2 linked regions of the Nothobranchius furzeri genome follow. The protein of the gene in region 1 binds, or shares a complex with, the protein of each later gene. Links are inferred from orthologs where the notes say so. Each region holds a gene or a part of one and is shown on either strand. Other genes may lie near its edges.

Evidence for each region.
Region 2: g3bp1 (region 1) and elavl4 share a complex: the UniProt entries of both Homo sapiens proteins name them as parts of the TAU mRNP complex. The link is inferred for Nothobranchius furzeri from reciprocal best matches to the Homo sapiens genes G3BP1 and ELAVL4.

What each region holds. Positions count from the first base shown.
Region 1 is NC_091741.1:69,283,005-69,287,487, reverse strand, and holds the start of g3bp1 (ras GTPase-activating protein-binding protein 1), read left to right. Parts: upstream 1-1,674; 5' UTR 1,675-1,809; intron 1,810-3,226; 5' UTR 3,227-3,248; coding exon 3,249-3,343; intron 3,344-3,448; coding exon 3,449-3,530; intron 3,531-4,378; coding exon 4,379-4,483. UniProt on the Homo sapiens protein: Protein involved in various processes, such as stress granule formation and innate immunity. Plays an essential role in stress granule formation.
Region 2 is NC_091748.1:56,521,845-56,526,089, reverse strand, and holds the start of elavl4 (ELAV-like protein 4), read right to left. Parts: upstream 3,091-4,245; 5' UTR 2,531-3,090; coding exon 2,483-2,530; intron 1,837-2,482; coding exon 1,696-1,836; intron 1-1,695. UniProt on the Homo sapiens protein: RNA-binding protein that is involved in the post-transcriptional regulation of mRNAs. Plays a role in the regulation of mRNA stability, alternative splicing and translation.

The sequences.
Region 1 (4,483 bases):
CAGAACTCTTCCTCATCACAACTGCTTTTCACATTAAAATAATTAGTGAAGCCTCGAATTTGGTTGATCATTTTGCACCATCTCTGATCAGAACGCAAACGAAAAAGTCTTAAAAATTGTGATAAGAAAGCAAAGACAGGGATTAAACACTGTGTGTCAAGCTAAACTCTTTTTGACATTGTAATGTGATGTGAGTAATTAAAAGTTTGCACTGAACACTTATTTGTAACATCAGAAAATCCTGGCTGCATGAATTGAAGGTGTGTCTATGAAAATCGGCTTGAATGAGCCAATTCAACATGAGAACACGCTGTTCAGATCTGACTGCCATTTAAGGTTGTTCATGTCTTCAGTCTGTCTGTTCAACGTTGTTGCACTGAGAGGTTTCATTTTCCCTGGCTAAGGCTGCTCGTGGTCCCCTGGGAGACAGCAGAGGGAGATCCGGAGCACCCTGTTACCATCTCCACCCGCTCATCCAGACTCCAGCGTCAGGAATGTGAAACAACCCCAGGGCCCATGAAGCCTGAAGTCCCTCCTCTCTGCCACAGCAGGGAAAAAATAATGAGTTCATCATGCTGTTGAAGAGAAGGTTTGGTGATTTAACACATTAAAATCTCATTCAGGTCATAAAGTCATAGGTGTGGTTTTAAGGAGAATTTTAAGAATTTAACAAAAACTACGAAATAAAAAATAAAAAATACAGGTGAGTTAAACATTTGAAGTGGCACCTTTTAGATTTGATGTTTGAATTTTTTTTAAAGAACCATCATCTGTGTTCTGGCTAACTTTTTTAGGATTGTCAATAATTACAGCTGGATTAATTAGTGATTAATAGATAATAGCTGATTAGATAGATTTCTTTCCAGTTTCCATAAAAAAAGCACATTAGCAAAACATTTGTACTACACATGAATCTAATACTTAAGATATCATATGTGAGGAATGACTCTGGAGGATTTCTTTTCCAGCTCCACAATATTCAATTATTTCATTTTGAATTTCTTTTTTCCTAAATAATTATTACAAGTTATAAAAGTTTCTAAAAGGACAAATTTCCCAGGCAGTCTATTGACCCCTCCAAAGTTAACAGAGCTAAGAACAGAAACAAACTCAAGAAATAATAAAAAAAACAACAATTTTTTAATGAAAGAAACAAACTTAAAAAAATCACGTTATGACATTCACAATGAATATTATGACACAGAGAAGGGGGAATCTGAAGATTTCAGTACCAACATAAATATTGTTCAATCAATGTTGTCTCAAATGTTCCATGTTAGGTGTTTAAAAAGTTGTCCAAATATTTATACATTTGTAACTCTTTTGCTTTTCATTTTAGTTGACATAACGTCTGAATTGTTTTGTTTCGAGACAGAATCAGCATAAATCAGTCTAATCTCAGATAAAACGCGCTTGCATCAATCTTCCACAAATTACATTAGCTCAAATGTTGGCCAAACACTTTTGTCGCCTCCAAGTGGAGAAAATGTAACAGTGCATATTGACTACGGGAGACGCCAGTTCTTAAAACCATCGCACCTTAAACCGTTACTCAAACTTCCATTTTCATCCGGGATACTCCTTGGCGCTTTATTTAATTGGTTGCTGACTAAAACCTTAATCTTATTGGCCAGAGAAGCTCTGAGAGGCGGGACATCATGTTCAGTTGCGATTGCGAGGGTGAAACCACCGGTATCCGGGTACTCCAGCACGTTGTGAAGCCGCTAGTTAACAGGCAGCTGCTACGCTGGTTAAAAAAAGTCACATTATTTCAAAGCAACGTTTTCATTTTAATAGTTTGATCAGTTGGTGAGTTGTTTCGTTCCTATTTATGCTATCCTATTTTCGAAAAAGCAAATTTTCATTTCGCCGCGCTTATTTGATTAACTGGGTTGGCGTCCCGGTCTCCGTCTATTTTCTGGCCTTGCGATGATGTTAGCTGGTTTTGGCCATTGTAGCTAAGCTATTACATAGGTGTTATAACTGTGCAGTTCGCTTAATTATTAAATTATTTAAAACACAAGGCTGTTACTGAAAGTTTGAAATTGTAACTTATTTGAAAATAATTATTAATCCCCAAGTTTCGCTTTTGCTATTTCAGGAAATAGCCACCGCCCTTTCAGTCGTGACTCCCGTTTTCTTTCTTTACAATATTACTTTCCACATTTGGAATTGTATGATCGAACCGAATTTGGTAGTGTTTCGTTGGTTTTATTTGTGTATAAACTACCACCTTGGGTGTGTGGTCGCTAAAAGCGAAAGGTTAGACCAGGGACCGTGCGGGACACGTGCTGGGGCTCCTTCCGTAACCTAGCAGCAGACGGGTCTCTGTTCAGCTTTGAGGCCGTGAGCTGCTCCAGCTGTCGTTGTTCAGCTCCGTGGTGTGGCCGGGCGTCGTGCCATGTGTGCTCAGGTTATATCTGGTAACGGCCGCCGGACTGGCCTTTAGTCCCTGAGGCGAGCGGGGGCCTCCATGACTCCATCACGGCTGGCACGGCGTGGCCTTTGTCTGCTTACAGTTCGAGCACCTTTACTCAAGACCGTGACTTAAGATAATAAACACAAGTCCAAGCTTATCCTCTGCGCGCATCGTGGCCCGGTGGCACATTCTGATCTCGATGGATTGCTTTGCTTGTTTCTTTAACTCGGTTTCATTTCATGATGGATGGGATTTCGCTGGTTGTCTTTATGAGGATGCTCATTTCTGGTTCTGAATGATCTGATAGAAGAAGGATTAGACCGTAGCTTCTATGTGACTAACGTAAATTCTCAGGTTTGATTACCTGTTCTTTATTTGCCTCCTGCCTGAGCAGAAACAGGTTCTCTCACCAACTCATTCATCAAATGTTGCCATAATGTGCTGCATAACGCTAGGTGCCAAAATTATTGTTGCAGGATTGTTAAAAACTAAATGAAGACAATAGTTTTTGATGACTATTAGTTATCAATGTTTACATTAAAACATTTTACAGTTAAAAATATTGTCTTTGATCAGGAACCTGAGCTACAAGTTTTTATTTCATTTTTACAAATTGATGTAAATATATCAAGACTAATGATTTCACTCTCTGTAGTCTGTGGAAGTAGCTGCCTTATGAATTTCTCCACTGTCGGATTAATGAAGTTATTTTATTCTGATTCTTGGATCAAATCACCAGTTTCTTTGTCCCTACTTGGAATCACAGTCCGTCATTTTCTTTGTCAGTGACACTTTTCTTATTTGCAGAGATTTCCAGTTGACCAAAGAAATGGTGATGGAGAAGCCAAGTGCCCAGCTGGTCGGGCGAGAGTTTGTCCGACAGTATTACACACTCCTGAACCAGGCCCCCGACTACCTGCACAGGTACGGAAGTCAGCTGCTTGTGGAGGGTTTGATTTTGAAGTTTAAATGGTTTTATGATAAATTGTTAAATATTTGTACAAACAACTAGTTTGTCTTTTTGTTCAGGTTTTACGGAAAGAACTCCTCCTATGTGCATGGTGGCCTGGACAGCAACGGCAAACCAGTAGAGGCGGTTTATGGACAATCTGTAAGTGGGCTTCACCCAGTTAGAGGCATTTTCCAGCGGCAATACTTGGTGCAACTCGGGAGGGTTCGGTTTGGTCTGATTGCTTTTGTCCAACGGCGCGTTTTGGTATTTTTCCCCTGCTTTCCCTCTACTTTTCAGTCCCTCTGTTTTGGTTCCAAGAGCTGAACCGGTATTTCGACTGTCGGCCACTGATTGGCTAGGGGGCGGAGTCACTGGTTGCTCCAGAGCCTTCTGTCTGCTGTCTGAAACCATAAAACTGAAGAGTGTTCAACATCACCTTTATTTTTGTGCAGAGTTGTTTCTGTGGAGCATGCAGGTCACCTCACAGTGTGTACTGATGACCTTGTGCTATTTTTGTCGCGTAAAGATCCCTGCACAAGCAAATGCTGTGGTCCCCCCCATCCGCTATGAGGGGTGCACCCACTTTTTGTCTCTGAGCAGGCAAGGAAAGCCAAGTACTCTGTGGTGAGCCGAGTTAACCCACGCTGCACTGAGCTGTTTTAGCCTGAGTAGTGCTGTTGGAAAAGGCCTGTTAGGTGTGTCTCATAGTCTCATGAATCTAGAATGTGAAATATTCATGAATATATTTTCTTTTCAAGAGTCATTGTTACACACTTGTTTTTTTCTTCCAGAAACTAAGTTTTCTAGGTAGTTTAACATTCTGATGAATGTTTATCAGTACTTTCTGATTTATTAATCCTCACGTAAATTGTTTTATTCTAATGCTTGTTAAAATAACCATTATCGCTCTTGTCATGTAGTTGGATAATTGAGAAATGATTGATTGCTGTTAAATGCCCAAATTAAATCTTCAGTTCGTTAAATCTTTTGAATTTTTTTTTTATCAGGAGATCCATAAAAGAGTGATGGCTTTGAGTTTCCGAGACTGCCACACTAAGATCAGACATGTGGACGCTCACGCTACTCTGAACGAAGGCGTGGTGGTGCAGGTG
Region 2 (4,245 bases), on another chromosome or scaffold:
CTCTGAAACCTGAGGCTTCACCCAACAAAACAACCAGAATCTTCCAGCACATTTATCTAATGTATGCAAATGATCTCGATGTGCTTAATGAAGGCACCATTAATCACTTTAACGATGTTCTTTTTTAACCAGGGTAATCATGAATACAGGCACACACATACTCAAGCACGCACATTTTCAAACAAATACACAAGCCTTTGCACTTTCCCACACAAACACACAGAAGGACAAGCTTCATCACCAGAAATGAACTGAAAACAAATGCACCAAATCCCCGCAAATCTACTATTAACAAACATTTTTTGTAATAAATGAAGCTGCTTAATGACTTCATTACAATTCTTGAAATTAATGCTTACGTTTAATTTAATCCAAGCATGTTCCTTTCTTCCCTGTTGAGATGCATCCTCCCTGACAATAACCCCTAAAGTGAGCGCCACAGAATTTTATCCAATTCAATTCAAAAATACTTTATTAATCCCAGATGGAAATTGAGCCATTAGAATGATTAAACGATTTATTGTAATACGTTAATGTGCCAATTGTATTTATGTCATAAATCGAGGTAACACTGGTTTGTGGTTCAGCACCTTCATGCAGACAGCTGATAACGCTGCTGTGGGTCTAAACAGCCAGCGGAGCACACAGTGCTTCACGTTCAGAAAAGCATCAGCAAAGCGCTGGACAGATGGCTTTGAAGTCGAGTAAAGCCATTTTTTTAAAGCTCAGTTCCTCATGGACATATTCCACTGCTTATCCCTTTTCCACGAATTAGCATACACTTGACGGACACCCCTGGGTACAGTCAGCAGCATGACAGTGGGCTATGAAGGCTTCCGGGAGGCTCCGGGGTGTGGATCTGAGCCAGTTAGAAGGGGAGCCGAACCAATGAGGAGCCCACAGCAGATTAGACACCCACAGCTTCATGTCGCTTTTATGCAGCGAGTCAGGGATTTTCTTACAAGGCTTTTTTTTTTTCCTTTTTATGCCTAAACACTTAAGGTTTTCCTCATGCCCCCTTTCCTCTCCCGGTCCCTTTTGCCTCAAGTAATCTTTACTATGTAAATTGCAGCGTAATGTTGACTCTGGTGGAAAATGTCTCTCTGCAGACTTCCTGCTTTCTCTGATTCTGTAAAATGGAACGATTAGAAATTACCTGATTAATTATTTAATGAAATCAGACTTCATTTTTAAAATCCGAAGTTTTTACAACTCGTCATTGAGCAGCTCTTCAGAAACTATAGCTAGAACACCTAAGGAAATTAAACTGGACATTTAGTGCTGCAGCATTTACCAAATTTACCAAATGCATACACACATGCATGCATGCACACACAAACACCTCAAACTCCCTTGATAGTAATATGACTGGCAGAGGTTAAAGACAGAGTAGGCGGCTGTAATTGAACAAACATAACAATGTAAATATTTACTAATATTCTCCACTGGGGATACAGGCAGAATCCCATAATTGATTTGCTCTTTTTTTGGTTTTTACCCCTTTTACTCTTTTTTTTCCAATACACACACACACACACACACACACACACACACACACACACACACACACACACACACACACACACACACACCGTATCCAAACTAACTACCACAACAGCCTTTTCATTTACAGGTTTTACGCTCGCCTGTGCTCATGAAAGAGGCAGAGGTATGTTGGTCTGTCTATCCTCTTACCAGGGGTGACCTGTAGCCCATCTGGACGGGCGATGACAGGAGATCCCTGGGAAATAGCGGCGAGTGCGTCTCGGGGACGGTGCCCACGCCACTGGCTGCTAGTCCCGAGAGCTGCCCGTACCTCGCCATCATCTTGAGATGCTGCTCACAGAACACACACGCTCATACAAAGACACGGGAGGAGAGGGGAGCAGAGACAGTGGGGGAGGAAGGGGGAGAGAGAGAGAGAAAGAGAGAGAGAGGGAAAGGGGTGTCTTAGATGGGAAGGAGAGCAGACAACAGCAGGTAGGAAGGACAGAAGAGGGAGTGAGGAGGGGAAAAACCTTGAAGAAAAGAGGGAGGTGGATGGGTTTACGAGAACATTTTTGCACTCACACCAACACGTGTGAACATAGAGCCACACACGTCCACTCACGCCGTGCGTGCACATGAAGGCACACATACAGATTTAGCCTCAGGTGGACAATTTCACAAGCAAAGCCTATGTTTGATGGGCTAGATGGCTACGGTGGTTTTATTACAATGAGGCAGGGGCTCTGGCTCTCTGTTTATGATTACAAGGCAGAATGAGTGTGAGAAGCATAGCGGTCCCTTCATTTTCAGAAATAAACAGCTGCTGTTATCAATCATCCCTTCTGTCTTCTGGATGCAAGCACACCGAGGTGTAGGGACACACACACACACACACACACACGCAGACATACTATAACACAAATGACAGAATGGTTGGCAGCAGACATACAAAGGTGAGATGCAAACACAAAAAGGTAAATCCAGATATCTTTACCTCATTGCTCAACAAAGCAGCGTTGAGTGTTCGGCTTATTTCAAACATGTTCAGATTCGATGAGGTTTTTTTTCTGTCCTTTCAACTGTTAGATTCTCTTCAGCTTTTTTCTGGCCGTTCTCTGCAGTTGGGAGTCAGCCCCTCTTGTCCCAGGAACAAGAAAAAAGAAAGAAAACAGAAAAAAAGAGGAGAATAAAAAAATCCTCTTTGATTTCAGGATTTGGTGCTGTTTTCAGTTCCCTGCTCTTTTTTTCTTTCTCTCTCTCTCTCCCTCTCTCTCTCACTCTCTCTTTCTCTGCTGATGCTCTTCTGCTGGCTGCGGCTGTTTAGTGGAGGCGTTTGTGCCCGAGGTCTCCGCACACGTCTGAGGAGTCAATACGCTGCTGTCTTTTAAAATCTCCCCAGAGTTAGCACATTAAAACACGCACTCGGCGGGTCGGTGGGTCGGGCTGGTAGGCTGGCTGGCTCCCTTATCTGTCCCCCACACACTGGCTCACACAATACGCTCCGATCCTCACACTGCTCGCTAGCAGATTAGCCTGTCCCAAAACATAGCACTTAGTTTAAACTCCCCTCCCTTTTGCTCTCTCTCTCTCTCTCTTTCTCTCTCTCTTTTCCCCTCCACCTCCCTCTGCATCACTCCCTCTTCCCCCACTGCTCGTGCATTCAAGCAGCTACAGTTCACTCTGTCACCACAAGGTGGGAAAACTGTTCTAGCATCAGCATCAGCACCATCATCTCCTCCTCTTCCATCACTCAGATTTGCTTCTTTTCTCCTCCTTTTCAAGTGAGTTCACCAGACATGGATGCAGACACTTAAAAGAAGCTAGAACTTAAACTAGGATTAACGAACAAAATTAGGATGTGTGGGATTTAATATTGTTGAATGATTTCATGTTTTTGCAAATAAAAGAGATACAACATTTTATCTGCTTTAAAACATTCAGATTATTTACAGGAAATGCATCATTGGAACATAATAAAACACAGGGAGACTCAATGGGAGTTGGATTTTAAAAAAAAAACAGAGGAAAAATGCTGCTGGGCTGAGCGTCAAGGTCAGGTGGTTGTCCTTTTCCTCAGCAGGGTGTGGCACAGTGATGACGCAGCAACCAGTCACAGTCGTGGCAGGAGATCCCGACTCCTAAATGAACAGGAAACAGCCAGAGCATGACTCACTGCATTCATTGGGTTAAACAGTTTGGAAAATTCAATTAGATTGTGAATCTTCGTGTAAAAAAAAGAGACAAATATTGTTAAAAAAAGTTTATTTCTTGAGATAAAACAAATCGGCAGAGCTCAGAAGGTTGAGCGGATTGTCCGATAATGGGAAGGTCGTAGGTTTGATCCCGGCTCCTGGCAGGGAATTCTGCTATTGTGTCGTTAGGCAAGACACCCCGTCACCCTCCTTGTCTGCTGGTGGCGCCAGTTCTCAGCAACCTCACCTCTGTCCGTGCGCCCCCAGGGCAGCTGTGGCTACATTGTAGCTCATCCCCACCAGCGTGTGAATGTGTGTGTGAATTCGGGAATGACTGGTTGTGCTGTGAAGCACCTCGGGGGGTTGTAGAACTCTAGGAGGCGCTGTACAAATACAGGCCATTCTAACGTTGGTCGATGGTGTTGGACTGAGCAGGATCACGGTACCTTTGTCAGGACAGAGTCAAACAACATTTTAAATGTGCTTTTTGCCGTCTGAGATCAGAGTTGGAGGGGGATCGGCCAGTTAATAGCAGCCACATTGACACTGGACCATCTGTTTTGGT